3 linked regions of the Stegostoma tigrinum genome follow. The protein of the gene in region 1 interacts with the protein of each later gene in a biochemical or structural test. Links are inferred from orthologs where the notes say so. Each region holds a gene or a part of one and is shown in the gene's direction. Other genes may lie near its edges. The genes, in order: trinucleotide repeat-containing gene 6A protein-like, protein argonaute-2 and cnot1.

Evidence for each region.
Region 2: the proteins of trinucleotide repeat-containing gene 6A protein-like (region 1) and protein argonaute-2 form a complex in vitro, tested with the Homo sapiens proteins (2 studies listed by BioGRID). The link is inferred for Stegostoma tigrinum from reciprocal best matches to the Homo sapiens genes TNRC6A and AGO2.
Region 3: the proteins of trinucleotide repeat-containing gene 6A protein-like (region 1) and cnot1 form a complex in vitro, tested with the Homo sapiens proteins (2 studies listed by BioGRID). The link is inferred for Stegostoma tigrinum from reciprocal best matches to the Homo sapiens genes TNRC6A and CNOT1.

What each region holds. Positions count from the first base shown.
Region 1 is NC_081376.1:22,159,183-22,166,406, forward strand, and holds the start of trinucleotide repeat-containing gene 6A protein-like, read left to right. Parts: upstream 1-4,124; 5' UTR 4,125-4,249; coding exon 4,250-4,254; intron 4,255-4,543; coding exon 4,544-4,591; intron 4,592-7,224.
Region 2 is NC_081358.1:112,179,812-112,187,508, forward strand, and holds the start of protein argonaute-2, read left to right. Parts: upstream 1-4,609; 5' UTR 4,610-4,839; coding exon 4,840-4,861; intron 4,862-7,697.
Region 3 is NC_081369.1:4,604,525-4,611,858, forward strand, and holds the start of cnot1 (CCR4-NOT transcription complex subunit 1), read left to right. Parts: upstream 1-4,240; 5' UTR 4,241-4,399; exon of another isoform or gene 4,400-4,791; 5' UTR 4,792-4,810; coding exon 4,811-4,912; intron 4,913-7,334.

The sequences.
Region 1 (7,224 bases):
GCAATATCTTGCATTTATCCAGATTGAGTTCCATCTGTGATTTTTCAGCCCATTGACCCATTTGATCAAGACAGCTTCTTGAGCATTCTTGGATCTGCACTCATCCATGCAAGGGGAGAGTATGTCATCACACTTTTGATTTGTGCCCAGTAGATGGACTTTGAGAAGTCTAGAGGTGAGTTGCGTGATGCAGAATTCATGGCTTCATCTTGTAGCCAGTTCACCTTCTAGTAACTGGTAACTCCCAGTATGTTTAAAGTAGGGGATTCAGCATTTTTAGTGCCATTGAATGTCAAGAGGCATTGGTTGGTTTCTCACTTGTTGGAGGTGTTCATTCCCTGGCACTTATATGATGCACCTGTTCCTTATAAACCCAAGCTTGAATTTTGTCCATGCCTTGGTATTTGAGGAGTTGTGAATTGTGCTGAACATTGTACAATCTTCATGAACATCCCTACCTCTGATCTTATGATGGAAGAAAATAATTGAAGGGATGGATGAAGGTGTTTGGGCCTAGGACACCAGTCTGAGGAACTCTTGCAGTGATGTCCTGTGGCTGAGATGATTGACTTCAAACAATAACAACTATTGTCCTTTGTGCTACATATGACTCCTTTGATTCTGATTGACGACAGTTATTCTAATACTGTTTGATGCCACATCCAATCAAACACAGCCTTGATGTCAAGGACAGTCAACCTGGTATTGCTTAAGTCTGTCTAATCACATGTTGCTAGTACTGCTGCTCTGTGGCTTCACCAAGTTGACATCTAATCGTTAGATATACTTGGTGCTGCTCCTGACGTGATGTCTTGCACTCTTCATTGAACCAGGGTTGATTCCCCTGCTTGGGCAATCCCATAACCAACAGATCAGATCCTAGCTCTGCAAATCTGCCACATCCAGTCATTAACGGTACTGGACAACTAAGCAACTCACTTGGAAAAGTAGGTTCCACAAATAACTCCATCCTTGTCGATTGGGAAGCCCAGCCCATCAATGCAAAAAACGAGTTCGAAGCATTTTCAGTCAGGAGTGCCAAGTTGACGATTCACCTTGGCCTCTTCCTAAAGTTACAGGATCACAAAAGCCAGCCTTTTGCCAACACAATTTGCTCTACATGATATCAAACAACGGCTGAAGGCACTGGCTGCTGTAAATGTTACAGGTCATGACAACATTCTGGAAATATACTAAAGGTTTGTGCTTGTAATCTTTGATTTGGGGATCTCCTAGGCTATGAAGTCAAATGTTGCATAAAGTTTTGGTGCTGCTGATCCACAGCACATCATGTTGCTCAGTTTTCATTTGCTAGATTGGTTTGAAATCTAACCAATTCCACACAGTGATTTTGCCACAGAAAATGATGGAAGTATCCTCAAAGTGAAGTCTGTAAAGACAGTGCGATAATGTCAGGGACAGGTGTATCCGCTAAATGTAGATCATTTAGGATGAGGTCAATTATATTTTTTTCGTTTTGTTGGTTCTGTCATTGCCTGCTGCAAGCTCAGTATTGCAGCTATGTCCTTTAAGATTCAGACACATTTGCTAATAGTGGTGCTACTGAGCCACTCTTGGTGCTGTACATTGAAGTCCCCACCTGTGTACATTCTGTGTCCTTGACACCATCAGTATGACCTCCAAGTGGCTATTAAAATAGAGTACAACTGATTTATCAACTGTAGTAAGTGGTAATAAGCAGGAGGTTTCTTTGGCCATGTTTAACTTGATCCATGAGATTTCATGGGGCCTGTAGTCAAACTTGAGGAATCCCAGGGAAACACTCTTTTGAATGCCTATCACTGTGCTGCTACAGTGGCTCTTTTCTGTCATTGGGCTTGTGATCATGGTGTCATGGACAGTGCCTGTCAGATCTGATTCAATCAGAATGACTATGTCTAGCAGTTGGACATATATACCAAAATTGGGAGAAGACTCTTGATGTTAGTAAGGAGGACATTTTAGGGTCAACCAGGGCCATTATCACTTCTGGTCTGCCTGGTTTCATCTCCTTTAACAGACTTCGTTGTGGTTAGGTACAACTCCTGGACATTTACGAATCAACCACAGTACTGTGAATATGCAGACACAAGTAGAACAGACCAGGTGAGGATTACAGATATCACTTCCCTAAAGGGCTTTACAACACTTGTGGCCACCATTGAATTCCGCATTTAAATTTGGTGATTTCAAATGTCAGGATTTTTTTTTGTAGTGAGATTCAAACAAAAGTCCTCAGGGCCTCTGGAGTTACTGGTCCAGTGATAATACCACTCTGCTGGCATCTCTCCAATGCTACGGCTGAAAGTGCCAGAAGTTGCCAATAAACTTTGGGCTCAATCTCACAAGAAACTAGTAGGTAGAGAGAAGAAAGTCTGAGATTAGTGTTGAAGATGTAGGTTTCTAAATTTAGGATTAATTTTTATGAGGAGAAGGTTTTCTCATTGAAAATGTACTGTGAATTGTCAAGGGATTTATAAAACAAAGTAAAGGGATCTTTTGACTGATAAAGCTGGTACAATATCAGTGTTTAACAGTATAATATTTAGGAGTTTTACTCAAAATCTAACCTTCGCCGTACTTGCCTGGAGGTATTAAATAAAAGAGTGTTAAGTCAGTTTTATTCTACGTTTAATTCATGATATGGTTAACTTCAGATGGTTTGAATGGCTTTATTCTGAGCTATGCCTGATGATGATACACAGCACCCAACAAGGGAAATTGTTTAATTCACCAACAGATTTCTATCACTTTGATTATGGATATCTAACAATGATGAGTCAAAATACAGAAGGGAGATAAAGAGCTTGGTGACTTGATGCAATGAAATCAATCTGTCTCAACGTCAACAAAACTAAAGAACTGATCATCGACTTCTTAAAGAAAGGAGGAGAACACACTCCCATCTAAATCAACGAAACTGAGTTTGAGAGAGTGAAGAACATCAAGTTCCTCCGAGTGATGATAACTGGTGACCTGTCCTGGACTTCACATAAATGCAAGACAAGAAGGCACAACAATGCCTCTTCTTCCTCAGGTGGCTCAGGAAATTTGGCAGGTCTATAATGTCCTTCACCAACTTCTACAGGTGCACCATTGAAAGCATACTGTCCACGTGCATAATGGCTTGGTATGGCAACTGCTCTGCCCAGGACTGCAAGGAACTACAGAAGATGGTGTGCACAGCCCATACCATCACAGAAGTCAACCTTCCATCCATGGACTCTACTTAAATAGCTCTCTACCGCATAAAAGCAGCCTACATCATCAAAGACCCATCTCACCCTGATAATGAACTCCTCCAACGTCTTCTGTTAGGCAGAAGATACAGAAGCATGAACACACACAGTGACAGGTTCAGGAACAGTTTCTTTCTGGCTGTTATCAGACTGTTGAAAGGACTCTAGCCTCAAATAATGTAACCTGTATGTCTTTGGTCTGTACATCCTTTGCTGTAATCTGCCTGTACCGACCGTAAACAATGCTTTTCACTCTATTTCGGTACACGTGACAATAAAATCAATCAAATCAAATGCAGAAAAAAACACCAGATAATTCAACTGTGGTAAAATAATACCAAAATCTATTGAGATTGGAATGAATTAAAAAGTAAATCAATTGCAGGGGTAGTCCGTCGAAACTAACAGCCGAGCGAACTCAACTGCTTGAGAATGTGAAAATGCCCAAGGTCGAATATTCTATGAGAACAACGGTAAAATGGAGTTTGGAAACTTGAGGTTGGAAAGCACAAATATGTGATCGCTCGATGAGGACAAGTTGTACAGTAGAATATCGCACGAATATTCTATGATGAACGGGCAAGGGTGACTTGAACTGGGGAAACTACATGAGGAGAAAACTGGGTGTGCACAATGACTGTCTTTAATTTAACTTCCAAACGCGATTTTTGAGATAAATATCCAATGACTTCCTGTCTCCGAACTCCCTTCCAACGCTAGAGAATTAATTATTATTGGTATTCGTACATCCTTGAGAGCTTACTGTCAACTTACAGCTCGTTTTCTTTCCTGCCCTCCCCTCAATGCTGAGCCGGTTGCCATGTGATCAGCCATTTGCGGACCGGAAGTGCCCAGCCGCGCGCTGTTGGACCAGTTCCTGTCAGTTAGGAGAAGATGGCGGCTGTGGAAAGTGATCGCTGTGTTTGGCGCCGCGGCCACTCGCACACTCACTGTTAAAGCCTTATTCGCATGTTTAGCTTTCGAATTTCTCACTGTTGCACTTTACATTAATGAGGTGTGTAGATTTATTTTTTCCCTGGATTGTGCAAACGAGCCGGCTCGGGAGCACGCAGTCCACCGACCGTTTTGTTTGATGCTGTGTCGCCGCTAAACGGGGGAGCGTCGGGTAATGGGGTGGAGAGAGTGAGAGAGAAACAAGTAGGCCCCTCTGTTGCTGCAGCCGTAGGATAGGGCCTGTGTGCAAATCCCGCATTGCAGCGCTCTGAACTTAAGGCATTTCTGCGGTTTTGTGCTTAAAAATAATACTCAAAATAGCCTTCTGATTGTCGCCTGTTTAATTGCAGAGGATTGGAGGCTAACGCTACCAAAGAAGCTCAAGGTAAACTAAACAGGTAAGGTTTGCCTTTGGTTCATTTTGCAGTTAAATATATTCAAGTTAAATTTGGGGAGGAAAATATCTGGCCTTCACCCACTCATGTATAGCCTCCTCCTCCTCCCCCCCCCCCCCCTTATCTCGCTTGAGTTGAACTGTGAAGAAAAATTGTAGAATAAATACTGGAACTTGCAAATGTTGCATATACTATAAAAATAACTGGGATTGGATCGGGGTCAGGAAAGGCATGGCGTGTTGTGCCGCCCAACCAGATGTTAACTGGTAAACATGCATTTTGCAAGAGTCGATCGGCCTCGCTGCAAATTAAGGGATGTAAAGTGCAGTGTATACAAATTTAGAAGTAATTCAGATTTTTCAGATGTGGTTATTCTTTCAACTGGCTGTTACTTTGAGAGCATTTACTTTGCTCCTCCATTTTTTGAAGGTAGTTATTATCTTTCATTGGTGAATGAGTGTTCCTGTAGTATATTATCATTGTTGTTATTTCTTAACTTCAAGTTCTAGGGTGAGCTTGCCTTGTCCATACGGTTCAGTTCCGTATCGTGTGTGTGCGTGTGTGTATCCTCAGATGCCAAAAAAAACATGATTCCTCAATCTGTTTAAATTTTTATAGAAATTGTGAAGCTGCTAAACATTTGAGAGACGTTTATAAATGTAGGAAAATGTTCTGACACATTTTCAGTAATAAGATATCCCAACATACTTCACAGGACTATGACCAGATCCACATTTACACTAAATGAATGAAAATGTGAAGACTAATGGTAAAAATTTGGTTAATTAGGTGGTTTCTAAGGCTTAAAGAATAAAATTTATAGATGTAGCTGGAGGCAAAAGTGGTGAGCAGGAATGTAGGGTGCAGTGGAGGGCCACATTAGTCATGTGCCATTCTCAGAATTATGAGACTGGATTCAAACATTAGCATGATGGTAATATCGTAAAAAAAAATACAGGCAGTGCAAGCATGAATGGGACAGGCTCCAAAATTTTGGATTCGTTACCTCAAAACAAGCTTCTGTTTTGAGGTTGAGATGTTTTGAGGTTGTGAAAGGTGCTCCATTAGCTTATAAGATAACAAGGTGTAGAGCTGGATGAACACAACAGACAAAGCAGCATCAGAGGAGTGGCAAAGCTGATGTTTCGGGTTGAGACCCTTCTTCAGAAATGAAGATGTCTGACCCATTCCTGAAGAAGGGTCTCGACCCGAAACATCAGCTTTCCTGCTCCTTGGCCTGCTGTGTTCATCCAGCTCTACACCTTGTTATCTCAGATTCTCCAGCATCGGCAGTTCCTACTAGCTCCAAAAGCTTACGTTGGTTTTCTATCCACCAAATGCTGAGTTTCTGAGATCACATTGGATGCAATGTTGAAAGTGCAAATATGGGAATATAAATCTTACTATTTTCAATGATTGCCTTGCCAAAAGGGCAATTTTATTTATTTTTTGATTATGTATGGTAGGTTGCTGCTGCTTAAAAAACTTTGTTCTTTTTGACAACATCCTGTCCCTGCGTTGTTGTGCCTTTTTCTGTTTCAGGACTGGTTGTTAGGAAGATAGGGCTAGGACTCGGTCAAGTTAACCTTCAACATATGAGGATCTTGACAGTAAAAGCAGATAATAGTGACAGGATTGACATTTGCATGGGTTTGTGAAAGAGAAATCATACTTCACAAATCCTCTAGCATGTTTTGAAAACGTAGCCAGTAGAGGTGATCAGTCAGGGCTGGTGCATGTGGCTAGTTAGACTTTCAAAGGACTTTCGAAAAGACCTCATGTAAGAGATTAGTATATAAAAATTAAGGTGCAAAGGATTAGGGGTAGTTTACTGACATGGATAGAGAACTGATTGTTAGCAAACAAAGAATAGGTTTCTTTTGAGTGCCAGAAATGGACTTTTGGGGTACAGGCGGGAGTCAGTGCTTGGTCCTCAGCTATTCACAATCAATATATTAATAATATTGATGAAGGAACTAAATGTAATATCTCCAAGTTTGAGTTTAATTTGGGTAAGTATGAGGTGTTGCATTTTGGTAAGACGCACCAGGGCAGGACTTATATAGTTAATGGTATGGTCTTGGGGAGTGTTAATGAACAAAGAGATCTAGCGGTGAGATGCACGGTTTCTTGAAAGTGGAATCATGGGTAGACAGGGTGGTGAAAAAGGGACTTGGCATGCTGGCCTTCATTGGTCAGTGCATTGAGTACAGGAGTTGGGATGTCATGTCACGGCTGTACAGGACATTTGGTGAGGCTGCTTTTGGACTACTGCGAACAATTCTAGTTGTTCTTCTGTGGGATGGTTGCTGTAAAACTTGAAAGGGTGCAGAGAAGATTTGCAAGGATGTTGCTGGCCTGGTGGGTTTGAGCTATAGGGTGAGGCTGAATAGGCTGGGGCTATTTTTGTTGGACCATCGGAGACTGAGGAGCCTCCTTTGTAGAGGTTCACAAAGTCATGAGGGCCACAGAAATGGTGAATGTAGCCAAGGCCTCTTGCCTGGGGTGGGGTAGTCCAAAACTGGAGGGCATAGGTTTAAGGTGAGAGGGGAAAAGATTTAAAAAGGACCTGAGTCCTTTTCACCCAAAGGACGGTGTGTGTATGGAACAAGCTGCTGGAGGAAATGGTGGAGTGG
Region 2 (7,697 bases), on another chromosome or scaffold:
TCGGTTGGTGTCACTGCATGTTGCCCTCAAAGCAGATGTGGTGGAGGGGGCGGTGCTTAGACTGTCACATATCCCTTGCTGGAATGTGCCTTTGCAAAGGGTGTCCAGAGAAAGATGCAGTGGTTTTTGACAGGGTTTGTCCACAGCAGGTCTGTGCTCTGTGATCTGTTCCCCAGGATACACATCGAGACAAACATTAACTGCATCTGGCAGACCATCAAAACGGTAAAAGACGTTCTTTGGTCTGCCCGAAACTTGTTGGCCTTCCAGAACAAGGAGTTGACCTCAACCAAGTGTTGCAGGCTGGCATGTTCCCAAGGTCCAGGACTATGTGCTGAGGGCCGCAATGGAGCCTGGTGTAGCTGCCACCAAGGCACACTGGATAAAGCCATTGTTCTGAGGTCTTCCTGCTGAAGGTAAGTGGAGGTCCATTCAGTTATCTCACCCTCCTGATACCTCAATGAATGTAAATGTGGTCTTGTATGTGTAAGAGATGTCTTTGGTTTGTTTGGACACAGACAAACGCCAATGTTTGTTTATTTCCTCAAAATGTTACTTTACAGAACCAAAGAAAGCCTTTGACAGGATATTGCACATCTACATCAGGAATGTCCTCTCCAAAATGGGCTTTAGGGAAGAAATCCACAATTGGATCCAACTGCTATACATCAAATTCAAAGGCTTTGGAGAGGGCATGGAAAAGTTTTACCAGCATGTTGCCTGATTTGAAGGGTACTACAAGGAGAGATTTGACAAAATTGGTTTGTTTTCACTTGAAGGATGACCTGATAGAAGTTAACAAAATTATAACAAGTGTGGATAGAATGCATAGTCAAAGTCTTTTTTTCCAGGGTAGGAATGTCAGTTACTAGATAACATAGATTTCAGGTAAAAGGGGGAAGATTTAAAGATGATGTGAGGGGCAAGTTCTTTACACTGAGGGTGGTAAGTTCCGGGAATGGAGGTGATAGAAATAGATACGATAGCAATGTTCAAGAAGAATCTTGATGGGATATGACTGCATAGAGGCAATGGTTTTTAGTTTAGAAAGGCTTCATGTGTTGGCGCAGGCTCGGTGGACTGAAGGGCCTTTCCTGTGCTGTTCCGTTCTTTTTTCTTTTAATATCAATAGCACAGTCTCAATTGATGGGTGGGAATCAAAAGATTTCCTGATCATATCTGGAGTTGGGCAGGGCTCCTCTCTCTCCTGCCTTTTTTGTGTTGCACAGAGCCTTTTGCCGAGTCCATCCAGATGGATTCAAGCCTGGGAGGGGTGACTCTTCGAGGCAGTAGAAAGCCTCCCTGAACAAGGATGACTTTGTACTGGCATCAGGAGCCAAAGTAAATCAAGGCAAGAGTGAGGCCATTTTCTTTGGGAACTGGATCAACTGATCCTTATCCGCTTTACCATCATGCCAGATCACCTGAAGATGTTGGGAATATCATTCATTTAGGCCACGGCGTGTGCTAAAACTTGGGAGGAGCATATTGCCAAGGAAAAGTAGAAACTAGGCAGATGGGAGCACCAGCCTCTCTCTCTACTGGAGGTAAAAGCCTGGTCATCAGGTGCGAGGTAATTTTGGTGTTGCTGCACATGGCACAGGTCGGGCCCATTCTCCCAGCCTTGACCACTGCAGTCACCCGAGCCACTTTCTCTGGAGATCAAAGATGGATCATATTCAGACATCATGTACAAAGCTCCAGATTGGCAGAAGGACATACCCAATGCCAACCTAATCCTCATGGCTAACTTTATGTGCTCTGCATCAAACTGTGCGTGGACCGTCAGTAAATAAACACCATGTATTATTACATACTGAGGTCCAAACTGCCCCTGGTGTTACAAATGATAGGCCTGACCTCATTATTGTGTGGTTTCCCAGAGCAGACTGTCAAACCTATTTGGCTGAATGCCTCATCACCAGAACTTGGCAACAAGCACTAAACTGTAACTTGGCTGCTGGCAAGAAGGGCACTAAGAGTCATATTCTTCATTTTCACCCAGACTCTCTCCGACACCACTGCTGTCCTTGAGGCAGCTGCGGGGGTAGCAGAATTCCGTGCTGTACGGGCACTGAGACAAGTATTGACCGCACCTGGAAAACATCAACTCTTGTGAAAGATGTTCTCTGGTCTGGAAGAAATCTGTCAGCCTTGCAGTGTAAAGAGTTGATCTCGAAAGAGTGCTACAGGCTGGCACTTTCCAGGTGCAGAACTACACGCTGAGGGACTCACTAAAACTTGGAGCAGCTGCTGCCAAAAAGCAGTGAGGAAAGAGCACCATCTAAGGTCTTTCTGCTGAAGTACAACAAGGATCTAGAGTCATAGAGTATTACAGCACAGAAACAGACCCTTCAGTCCAAGCTGACCATAATCCCAAACTAAGCTTGTCCCTTTTGCCTGCTCTTGGCCCATATTCCTCCATACACTTCTTATTCATGTACTTATACAATTGTCATTTAAACTGTTGCCGAATCCACTACTTCCTCTGGATGTTCATTCCACACACGAACCAGTGTAAATAATTTGCCTTGTCTCTTTTTAAAATCCTTTTCCTCTCACCTAAAAAATACAGTTCCTAGTCTTGAAATACACCACCCTTATCCATTGACCTTATCTATATTCCTCATTATTTTATAAACCTCTCAGTTCACCTCTCAACTTACTACTCCAGTGAAAAAAATCCCAGACTGTCCAGCCTCTCATAACTCAAACCCTCCATTCCCGGCAACATTGCGGCAGATCTCTTCTGAACCTTGACCAGTTTAATAATATCCTTCCCATAATAGAATGAGCAGAACTGGACACAGTACTCCAGAAGAGGCTTCACTGCTCCCTGGGTAACCTCAACATAACATATGATTACTATATTCGAAGGTCTGAGCAATAATGGCAAACGTGATATATGCCTTCTTAACCACTTTATCTATATGTGATGCAAACTTCAAAGAATAATGTATCTGAACCCCTATGTTTCTCCGCTCTCCAACACTGCTCAAGGCCCTACTTTTGATTGCATAAGTCTTGTCTTTGTTTGTTTCACCAAAATGTAATACTTTGCATTTTTCCAAATTAAATGGGTCAGTTATCAGATCCTGTCCTTGCCTCAAAATGTATGTAAATAGTTATCTACTATGAGTAGAAAATGCTTTGGTTTTGCAACTGTAGGCGAGCTCTGAGGAAGGTCAAAATTCCAATATGTATTTTCTCTGCAAAGACTTCACAGATCTTTTAGAGTCAGAGAATCCCTGAAGTGTGGAAGAAGACCATTCGTTACAACAAGTCCACACCGACCCTCCGCAGAGAATCCCACCCACACCCACCCCTTACCCTATCCCTGCGTTTCTTACCCTGGACACTATGAGCAATTTACTGCAGCCAATCCATCTAGCCTCCAAATCACTGGACTGTGGAATGAAACTGGAACACCCGGAGGAAACCCACGCAAACATGGGGAGATCGCGCAAACTCCATACAGGCAGTCGCCCGGGGCTGGAATCGCACCCGGGTGCAATTTAAAAAACATCATAAGTTTTTAAAAACTGAAAGAACTGCGGATGCCGTGAATCAGGAACAAAAACAAAGTTGCTGGAAAAGCTCAGCAGATCTGGCAACATCTGTGAAGGAAAAAAACAGAGCTAATGCTTTGGGTCCAGTAGCCCTTTTTCAGAACTGATGGTGGTTGGGAAAGCAGCAGTTTATATGCAGAAAATAAGAGACGGGGGAAGGGGTAGGGAGCAAATGATAGAATAGAGCCCAAAGAGAGAGGAGCAGTTGGACAGTCAACAGTTGATAATGATCAGGCTGGGAGGGTGAATAATGACTAATAGCAGGTGGTGTGTGATGCCATGGTAACAAGGTCTGGTGTGTGGGGTGGGGGTCTGGGACATGGGAGAGTTTAGGTCCTAAAATTATTGAATTCGGTATTGAGTCCAGAAGGCTGCAAGGGGTCCCCAAGTGGAAAATGAGGTGTTGTCCTTCTGCATTGAGCTTCGCTGATACACACCAGCAAGCCAGAGACAAGAGATGTTGGCCAGGGAACGCGGTGGTGCTTTAAAGTGGCAGGCAACAAGTAGTTCAGGGTCTCTTTTTCTGAGCGGAAGGCAGATGTTCTGCGAAGCGGTCACAAACTTCATCGGAAGTTTTTAACTGATGTCAAAAAAAGCGCATTCTGCAGTGGCAAAAGGTGTTTAAAACCAAACAGCCCTCCAGCCTGCTCTGCCTGATCAGTCTCTCCTCACAAACACTGCTGTTTCCCGTGATCTTTGATTCCCCTCCTGATCGGGCATCTGCCCAGCTCAGCCTTCAACGTTACACAGGCATTTTGCCTCCACAGCTCTCTGTTTCTCGACACGTACACTCACATTCACTCTCCCAGTTACTGTCATACTACAAAAACGCACAACCACATGGGTGGAATGCCCAACCCGCACTGGAGGTCCGACCTGTCGAGGGCGCATGCGCGCTACACGTTGGCGCCCTCCGCTGGCTCGAATGGCGGGCGCGCGCGCGGGAGGCGGGAGGCGCGAGGCGTTTGCGGTCGCGGGGTGGGGGAGAGGAGGCGTAACGTTCGGGCGTACGGCGGCGCGCTGGGGACCGCCTCCTGCGCTTGCGCGTTGCACCGCCCGTCAAGTGTCTGGCCCGGGGTTTTCTGTCCCCGTTTCACTATCCTTCCTCGTATGTCCCCCATCTCTCCATCGGGAATTATTAATGTTTTTCTTCCTCATGAGTGCTGTTTTGTTCCTGTTTGTACTATAATTTTACATAAACACGGGGGAGGGGGGAAGGGAAACTCTCCATCTCTTCTCAGCCAGCTGCTTCCCTCCCCTTTAAACGAGGATGTATTCCGCCGGCGAACCCGGTAAGCTATTGCTTCACGTTTTTTCTTCCTTTTCTTAAAAAAAAGTTTTTCATCGTTTGAAGTGGCGCCTTACAGAGGTCTGAGGAGTTTGATGTTGCTTGCGGCCACCCTGTCTCTATTGAGGCCTCATCCAAGCCTGGGACTCGGCTACGAGGAGTGCCCCAGGTTGAAGTTGGAAGGGTGACCTGCTGTAAACCGGGCCGTGTTCTAGCTGCCAGCTTTGCTGTGCTGTGGGCTCCCCTCGCGTTTGGAAAGTTTCCGTCTTTCGTTCTCTTCCGTCCACCTTCCGCTCCCGCCCCCGTGAACTTTATAAATATAACCATAAAGGCGATACTTTGCTGTTTTCATAAATACAGTAAATCAGGACTGCGTGGGGTTATCACTGTCAGCTGTTCCCGTGGTTCAGCTTCGAATGGACGTAAAGCCTCTGTAGTACTTTCCCACTCGGATTTTAACTTGCAGCACTCAAGATGAGAGGAGTCGGGTAATTGTTCTCACTTCACTCCTAAATTACTGGAGGAAGTAAACTAGGCTGGATGGTTTGACAAAGCCGACAATGAAAGAAAACAGATGCAAAAGTGTCGCGAACAAAAACAGAAGTTGCTGGAAAAGCTCAGCAGGTCTGGTAGCATCTGTGAAGAAGAAAAAAAAATCAGTTAACGTTTCGGGTCCGCTGACCCTTCCTCTGGTCCGAACTGAGCATTTCCAGCAACTACTATTTTTGTTCCGGATTTACAGCTTCCGCAGTTCTTTCGGTTTTTAGATGCAAACGTGTGTTACTATGCGGATGAGAGAGAGAGGAGCGTTGTACTATAGTTGGATTTCTGTCATGCGTTTTAACTTAACGCTTGGGAAAGGTAAACGTAATTTTTTAAGAGAATAAACTGTGCATTATTGAAATATACAAAAAGTCCACACTGAGCTTGATCTCGTAATGATGCGAGAATGGTCTTATTTTTGATTCTTTTTTAACTGTACTCTGAATCCTACTAGATGACAGGTGATTTTGACCATCTTGGACTTCAAAAAAGATTTATCCATTTATCCCTATACCCTCTCAAGTTTTAATTAAAATCTTTATCCACTTTCTTTTATCAATGTAGATATGCATAGTCTGCTTACATCAACTGTAAATTATCTTAAATCTATACCCATTAACTCATTGAGCATTTGAAATAATTTATTTCTGTTTATCCCTCTAAAACTGTGTGTAAACTTAAGGAACAAAAACAAAGTTGCTGGAAAAGTTCAGCAGGTCTGGCAGCATCTGTGAAGGAGAAAACAGAGTTAGTTTCAGGTTCAGTGACCCTTCCTCAGAACTTAAATAATCATCTAACATACTCTTGAATACCTCATTGAAACTGGCTCCAACACACTTGCAGGCAGTGTATTCTGACTGACCAGCTCATTGCCTGAAAATGTTTTTTTTCTCACATCTTCTCATCTTGTCATCCACCTTAAATCCGTACCCTTGCATTCTTGATTCTTTTGAGTGGAAACATTTACTCCCTATGTACTTATTCAGCACCCCTCACTATTATGAAAACTTCTGTGATCTTTTATCTTTATTCCTTCCAAGGGGAACATTCCCAAGCTGTCTAATCTTTCCTTGTAACTGAAGTCTCATCCTTGTAAATCTCTTGTACCCTTTCTCCAGTGTCACCCCCAGAACTTTATCCAGCTTTGTGTGTTTTGATACAAATTCAGGATCATCTCCTTACCCTTGTACTCTGTGACCCGGTATAAAACTCAGGATACTGTATGCTTTAGTAATGCGCTGTCCACCTGATCTTTAGTGTTAATTATATGCTCACATTAAGATCCAGGTCCCTCTGCTCCTGCCTATCTTTTAGAGTTATACCCATTCTGTATTTATATTCTTCGTATAAAAATGCATCACCTGCAATCTATTCATCCTTGAATCTGTCTATGATTTATCACTGTTCCTCACGTTTTAAAATGCTTCCAAGTTTTGTATTATCCCCTGCACACCAAAGACTAGATCACAAATACATATCTGGAAGAGCAAGGGTCCCAATACTGAACCATGGGGAACTGCACTACAATCTTTTCTTCCAGAAGATATTCATTGACTATTTCTGTTTGCTTCCAATTAGTCAGCTTTTTTAAAATCAGTAACATACTGTAAGCAGATCATGGGAGTAAATCGACATTTTAAGTCTACAGACTATGACTAGTGGAGTGGTGCAAAGATCAGTGCTAGGATCTTGGCTATTTCCAATCTATATTCATGATTTGGATGACAACACTGAGTAATGTATCCAGGTAGTATCATGAGTCAAAGCTATGTGTGAATGCAAGCTACGAAGGTCAAAAATCACACAATACCAGGTTATTGTCCAACAGGTTTATTTAAAAACACAAGCTTTTGGAGTCTTACTCCTCCTTCAGATGTTAGTGAGAGAGGTAGTAAGATTCCAAAAGCTTGTGTTATCAAATAAACCTGTTGGACTATAACCTGGTGTCATGTGTTTTATGACCTGGCCCATCCCAGGCCTACACTGGCATCTCCAATCATGGAAGCTGTGAGTCAGACAAGTTAATTGAGTGAGCAACAAGGTGGCAGAAGGAGTGTGTCGTGGACTGGACACTATCCACTTGTCTGAAAACTGTCTTCCTGGCCAGATCCTGTGTTCTCAACCCTTGAATGGCCAGTATTCCAAGGGTGGAAAAACAATGTGAATCAGAGCTACTGAAAAGTTCTCCTTGATATGTGGCAGCATTGATATTCATGATAGGGACTACTTCATTATCAGTCTTGCAAAATGACACCAGCTGATCCATCAAGCTTTGATCCCAAAAGCCTTAATCACGA
Region 3 (7,334 bases), on another chromosome or scaffold:
AAAACATAATTTCCAGGTTCTCTTCAATCTCTGAATGGCTATAGCATCAATGTAACCTTAAACAAGATGCTAACATGCAACACACAATTTCTTGTTCAATAATACAGCCTCTTCTAGTTACAGCAGAAAGTGATTTTCTTCTACCACAGCAGGCCAGATAGGCCTGAGTAGATCCCACCCCTAAGGGTTTGTGGGAGCAAACCTCCCACATGGTGAGGTGCAAGACGACAAATTGTGAAGCTGGATGAACACAGCTGGCCAAGCAGCATCTCAGGAGCACAAAAGCTGACATTTCGGGCCTAGAAGGGATGAAGGGTCTAGGCCCGAAACGTCAGCTTTTGTGCTCCTGAGATGCTGCTTGGCCTGCTGTGTTCATCCAGCTTCACACTTTGTTATCTTGGATTCTCCGGCATCTGCAGTGCCCATTATCTCTGATCACATGGTGAGGTGAAGACTTGGTTGAGCTGCACAAAGAACAGTGGAAAAGGTAAAATAAAAGAGAGAAATAGCATTAAAAAAAAATCACATATCCACATTAGCTGTTAGGACTTGGCGAAGCAAGTCATTGTGAATGATCCAGTGCATTCTCTTCCCTGCTGTTGAAATCACATTCAAGTAGGCTTTCATGGTATCTTTAAAACCGTTCTGTTGACCACCCTAGGACCTTTGACCAGTCGTGAGCTGGGAGTAGAAAGGTCATTTTGAACAAGTGTTCAGCATTCTCCTGCAATGGCCTGTCTGGAGTAGTTATCATGTAGGATTGTTCATTTCCTTGCTCACGATGCCTACTTCCTGTAGGCTGTTTATATTGCATGGTGTTATGCAGATTAGATATTCGATAGGCAGCACTGATGGTTTTGTCTCAAACTTTCCCAGGTGTCACCAATTTGTCAACCAAATTTTGCAGCCTGACGGGCGTGTTGGGAAGACAACCGCTTTATAGACTGACATTTATACCCATTGTCGAATGCAGAATTCAGAAGAATAAACTATTTTAGAGTCTTGAAAATACGGAACTTGCTACTAGCAAAGTGTAGTACATTAAGAGCATATGGCAATCACCAGTCTTAAACCTCTTTATAGCTAATTACAAAGTTTTGAACTGGAGCCAGTGTTGTAATGTGGAAAATGCTAGACAAACAATGGGAAAAGGGAATACATATATCTATGATGATAGATTGAAGACGGAAGGAGACTCAAGTGTAGCTAGTACAGACCATTTTGGTTATGTCTCCTATCTAAAAATTAAATATTTAGTGGCAACTCAAAATACTGCAACCATTGCAGACGAAAAACAGTGCCATCTGCTCCAAATTCCCCATTGATTTGTGATTATCTCGCTTTATTCCCACACTATGCTGACAAGTATCAGCAGAGACTATTTATTTTTGTATACCTTTCTTAAACCACACCCAAGTTACAAGTGCTGTATCAGCTTTCTGTTCACAGTAGTTAGCACTGATTCAAAGAATCACTCACAGCTAAATGACAGTTAACTGCCACTGAAAAAAAGTTTTTGTTGTGTTGAGGAGCTTGCAATTTCTTTTAACAGATTTTTTACAAGTCCTCAAGGTGTTGTTTGCTGGTCAATGGCTTTCTGTGAGGGTCCTCCAGGTAGTCCATGGGTAGGTCCAATCGCAAATCACTGATATGCAATGCCAGGGTTAATTGTGAGAACACACCAGAATCCACTTGTGTCATCACACAACTGGATCGGCTCCCATGTGTAGCATAAATTGTCAAAAGTGTGAGAAACAACAATATTGTTTTATATTTTATCTTGTTACAACACACCATCACAAATTTGGATTTTTAAACAATCAGAAGAACCAGGTGAACATGGAGGCCAACATAAAAATAAAGCTCCCCACCTTAAGCGAGACATTACCAAAACCAACATCAATTTTCCATAATTTTAATGCTATTTTAGGAATGGCAACTGTGTTGGGTGAAGGGTGGCGAAAGGCCAATAGGTGGCATGCAAGGTCCATTGCCATTGGAGAACCAATTAACTGAAACATTTAAACTTAATTTCCTCACATGAAGGATGTAGTGAGGTGGAACTTGCTGTCGCAGAATAACTGAACAGAACAGCATTGAATTACGCTCAGAGGTATAATGATAAGAGTGGAATAGAAGCAGGGCTGTGTGAGGGTTAATCCTGAAAGGATTATAAGGGCTAACTCCCAGAGGGGTGGGATGGGATGTTAATTAATTGGGGGAAGGGAGTGGGGGTGGGGGTGGGGAGGGGCTGTCTGAGGGTCGATCTCCAGGCGTGGGGGTTGGGAGGGGCTGCCTGAGGGTCAATCCCCAGGGTGCGTGGTGAAGCGGGTGGGTCAATCCCCGGGGTGTGTAAGGCTCACAGGGTTAATCAAAGTTGGGGGGGGGTGGTAAAGAGGGGTGGAATATGGGGCCGGGAAGGTGTGTGACAGTTAATCTGGGGGAGGTGATGGTTAGTGTAGGGGAGGGTCGCTGAGGGTTAATCCCGGGGGGAGAGGCGGAGTATTGGGGGGGAGGAGCTGTGTGAGGGTTAATCATGGGGAGGGAAAAGACTGTTGGGGGGAGAGGGCGGTTTGTGATGGTTAATCCCGTGGGTGGTGGACGGGGGAAGGAGCTGTGTGAGGGTCAATCCCCGCGGTGGTAGAGGTGCTGAGAGGGTTAATCCCCGGGAGATGGGAGGAGGGTAGGATGAACAAATTGCTCCTCTCTCGTTAACGCGCCTAATAATTATTAGAGAATAACCTACCCCCAACACTTGGTACAGATTCGGAATATTCCGCTTCAACAAGAATTTCCCTGTTGGCACAGAATGAAATGTCTTTTAAAACTAAAAAAACACCCATTCCACGAAGATTCGATTTAAAAGAAACTACAGAGTAAAATTTTGCGTGTTCGTTAAAGTAAAAATTCGTTTATCTTAAAGAGGGCGACAAAGTTTGGACTGTACCAATTTTGGTGGGGACAGAGAGACGTCTGCGATTGACTTGTATTATGTACGCGGTCCCGGCAACTGAGGGCGGGGTTTGTTGTTGAACCCCTGGCGGCGAAATGGGCGATTCCTGTGATGTGCATATTAGGCGCGAGGTTTACTGTCGCCATGGGCGACGTGAGTGGCGTGGTTTCTAGCCGTGATTGGCCGGGAGTGTTTATGATTGACATGAGGATGCCTTCTTTCCCCTACCCGCCCCCCGATGACGTCCCGGGAACCTGGGGGCGGGATTTCCTCTGAGATGGATGAGGTGTGGGAGACTGATGATTGGCGTGTAGGCGCGCTGTGCCAGTCACGGCACAGGTCAGCGTAGGCGGGATTTGTGAATGGCGGGTTGAAGTCGAGTGGCCTGTAATTGGCGGATTGTGGCGGGTATTTGGCGGGATGTGTGATTGGCCACGGCTTGTTGGGGGCAGGGCATATGATTGGCGGGTACGACCAGGGCCTGCGACTGGTCCTGGCGGATGGGGGCGGGGCTTGAGGGAGAGCGTCTTTCTCTCGAACTATATCAGAGAGGGCGATGTGGAGGGGAGGAGGGGAGGAGGGGAGGGCCGAACATGTTTTTTTAAAAAAACAATTAAAGAAATAAAATAACAAACTTTGAACATATACCCGCACTGTTCTCAGCTTGAACCCGCTAACCGGAAACCCTCAACTGTTTACCGCCCCTCCTCTATCCGAACAGTCTCGCTCTCGCCCGACTAAGCGGCGGGTTCGGGGATTGTTTTCCTTCTAGTGTCGGTGTGTTTTTTTTAAAGAAAACCAAAAAAGCAAGCAATAAACTGAAGCTGAAGGCTCATTTCTTTCCCGGAGAAAATGCAAACACGATCGGGTCGGCCCTGAAAAGTTTCCTGGAGGAACATATTTTCGCCTTCCCCCCCCCGCCTCCTCTCCTCTCCTCTCCGTGTGGTTATTGTGTTTTTTTTCTCTCTCTCTCATTTTGGAAGGGTCGGTGTTTCCAAGATGGCGCAGTGAGCGAGGCCGCCGCCATTTGCAGCCGCTTGCACCGAGCCCATCAGCGAGAAAGTCGAGAGCGAGCACCCCCGTCACCGCCGCCCCCCCTCCCCATCACCACCTCCAAGCAGCAACAACAACAACAACCTCCCCGGCCCAGCAGGCCCAGGCCCACGCCGCGCTCTCTTCCCCTCTCCCTTCCCACCCCTCCTCCACCTCACCTCTCCTCCTTACTTTCCCTCCCCCAGGCTGCTATCCCCCAACATCCCCTCCCCCCCAACATCCCCTCCCCCTCTCTCTCTCTCTCTTCCCCCCCCAATCCTCCCCACACTCTCGGCCTCTCCTCTCTCGCTCTGTGTGTGTGTGTGTGTAACCCTACCGGCAGAGCAGCGCCATGTTCAGGCTACACGGAGGAGGAGGAAGAAAAGGAGGAAGAGGAGCGACAGCGGGTGAAAAGTGAGCGAGCAACCCGGGCGGCGGACCTAACTGAAATCGAGAGAGAGAAGAGAGACAGACAGACACACACACACACACATACAGACTGAGACTGACGGGGACAAAGTCTGAAGAGGAAGCGGAGCGGACACTTTGTGGAGTGACCATTGGAGCGGCGGACTTTCCCGTGAGAACACTTAGAAGGAGCTCTCTTCCTCCCCAACCCCCCTCCCCTCCTCACCACCACCACCTCCTCCGAACCCCTCAATTCCCTCCCTCTTCCATCGTTGTATATTTAAAAAGAGAGAGAGACAGACAGACAGACAGAAAGGAAAGGCGCTGAAGAGGAGAGATAAATTTTTCTTTTTCCAGTAAAAGAAAGGGGAATAATGACCATTTCCCGCTTTCCTCAGCTGACCGCCCCGACCAGCAATGAATCTTGACTCGTTATCGCTGGCCTTGTCTCAAATCAGCTACCTTGTGGACAACCTGACCAAGAAGAATTACAAATCCAGCCAGCAGGAGATCTCTCATGTGAGTTTGCCGAGAAACAAGTCTCGCACACCATGTACTAGAGGCCCCGGGAGCCTGAGGCCTGCTTCATTTCACCGAGAAAACGAAAGTGTTATGTGTGTGAGAGAGAGGGAAACTGATGTAACAATTCTTTTTTAGAAAACAAAACGACTGTCTTTGCAAACTGGTTACTCCTTTATAATGATAAAACATCAAACAATTGTAACAATAAGAAAGTAGAAAGGCAAATACAAACTCACATGGTGAAGTCTGGGCCTACCAAAAAGTTAATGGTCACATATTGAACTTAAAATTGTTTAGCGTGTAAGAGAGGGAAAGCTCCCTCGGATATTAGCTGCTGAAACAGATGGGCAGAAAGTTTTTTTTCCACGTTTGGTAAACTTTACGCTTTGTATAAACTGCTCAAGTCGGTGCTCGTAACTAACACCTTTAGGAGTGAGGCCTAGTAAAGGGGACATCAAAAGTGGGGGAAGGGAACGAATGGAACTTGTCTGTTTCTTGTGTATGGACCTGTAGTTGAAACTAATTCTTTTCAGCAATACTTCGTACTTAACACAACTTTTTGATTTGTTAAACGTTTAATATTAAGTAATTAATCTGCAAAGATTTTAATTAGAAGTATTCAGATTAATTGACAGCTTAACAAGGTCTCATTTGGTTCCTGTTTTGTTTCAGTTTAATTAGAATTCTATTTCAATTTAACTATACTAATGTGTCTCTTAGTCAATTGAACTAGTTCATTCCCTTGTTTAACTTACAAGTTGAGAGAAACTTCTCTAGCTCATTTGTTGTGAATCACTGGACTTCAAAAGCAAATTGTTCTTTGAAAGTGTCATCTAATTGTGACTGTGACTGTTCCTTGCATTTGGAAAGTTGAGTACATGTCTGTCAACCATTGGAAGGAAGTGGGATTTGTAGAAAATACCATATAGTTGAATGGCAACTACAAAGGTGTTGAAATTTTTTGTCATGATTAAGCTGGAACAGTCGACAAAATTGAAACCTGAAACAAATGAGAAAACCACTTGAATTCAGAATTGTCTTCTTGCTTGAAGATATGTTTGAGTAGAAGGTGCAGTTTTGTAACTTATTGCTTGATCGTTATACATTAGGACAGTGAAAGACAATCGTTCTTCTTTTACAGCAAACTTTATTTGATATAATTACTGGAAATATACTCAAGGGGAGGCAATGCTCTAATGGAATTATTGCTGGACTATTAATCTGTAGACAGGTAATGTTCTGGAGACCTGGTTTCAAATCTTGCCAGGGCAAATCATGACATTTGAATTGAAGAAAACTCTGGAATTGAACTCTAATGACAATGAACCCATTGTCAATTTTTGAATAGACCGACCTGGTTCACTATTGGTTTTTTTAGGGATGGAAACTGCCATCCTTCCTTGGACTACATGTGACTCCAGACTTACAGCAATCTGGTTAACTCAGACCTGCCCTCTGGGGTAGGCAGTAAATGCTGGCTTAGCCAGCAGATGCCCTCAACCCATGAATGAATAAAAAAACTCGACCAGTATCTGTGATGAGATAGTTTGGAATCCTTGGGTATTTTTGGATTTTGTTTTGATCTTTTCAAAACAATTTGCAACTTGTTCTTGTCATAGTTTAAAATTCAACTGAGTTCTAAAACTTACTGAAGTTTTTGAACATTGAGGAAAGCAGTCAATGTGTGATCTTTAAGGAGAGAATTTACCCAGCCTTAAAAAAAAGTACTTCAGGAAGTTTAGTGACTTGCTCTGCTACAAATTTATTAATTGTATGTGAAGTTGGCTTTGCTAATTTATGATTAGTCATAGAATTATACAGCATGCAAACAGACCCTTTGGTCTGACCAGTCAAAGCTGACCATGTTCCTAAACTAAACTAACCCAGCTGCCTGCATTTGGCCCATTTCTCTCCAACCCTTTTTTATTCATGTACTTATCCAAATGTCTTAAATGTTGTAACTGTATCTGCATCCACCACTTCCTTTGGCAGTCCAGTTCCCATACTATGCCAATGTGTTTTTTAAAAAAAAAGCCCATTCTTTTTAAATCTTTCTCCTCTCATTTTAAAAATATGGTTCTGAACTCCCCCAGCCTAGGGAAAAGACTAATGCCTCTATAATTTTATAAACCTCTAAGGTCACCCTACAACTTCCTATGCATCAGCGAAAAAAGTCCCAGTCTTTTCAGCCTATTTTTTATATCTGAAACTGTCCATCCCCAGCAACATCCTGGTAAATCTTTTCTGAGCCCTCTACTGTTTAATAATATCCTTCCTATAGCAGGGCAACCAGAACTGCGCACAGTACTCCAGAAGAAGCCTCATCAACCTCCTGAATAACCTCAACATGATGGTACTAACTCCTATACTCAAAAGGTCTCAGTAATGAAAGCAAGCATGCAAATTGTTTTCTTAACCA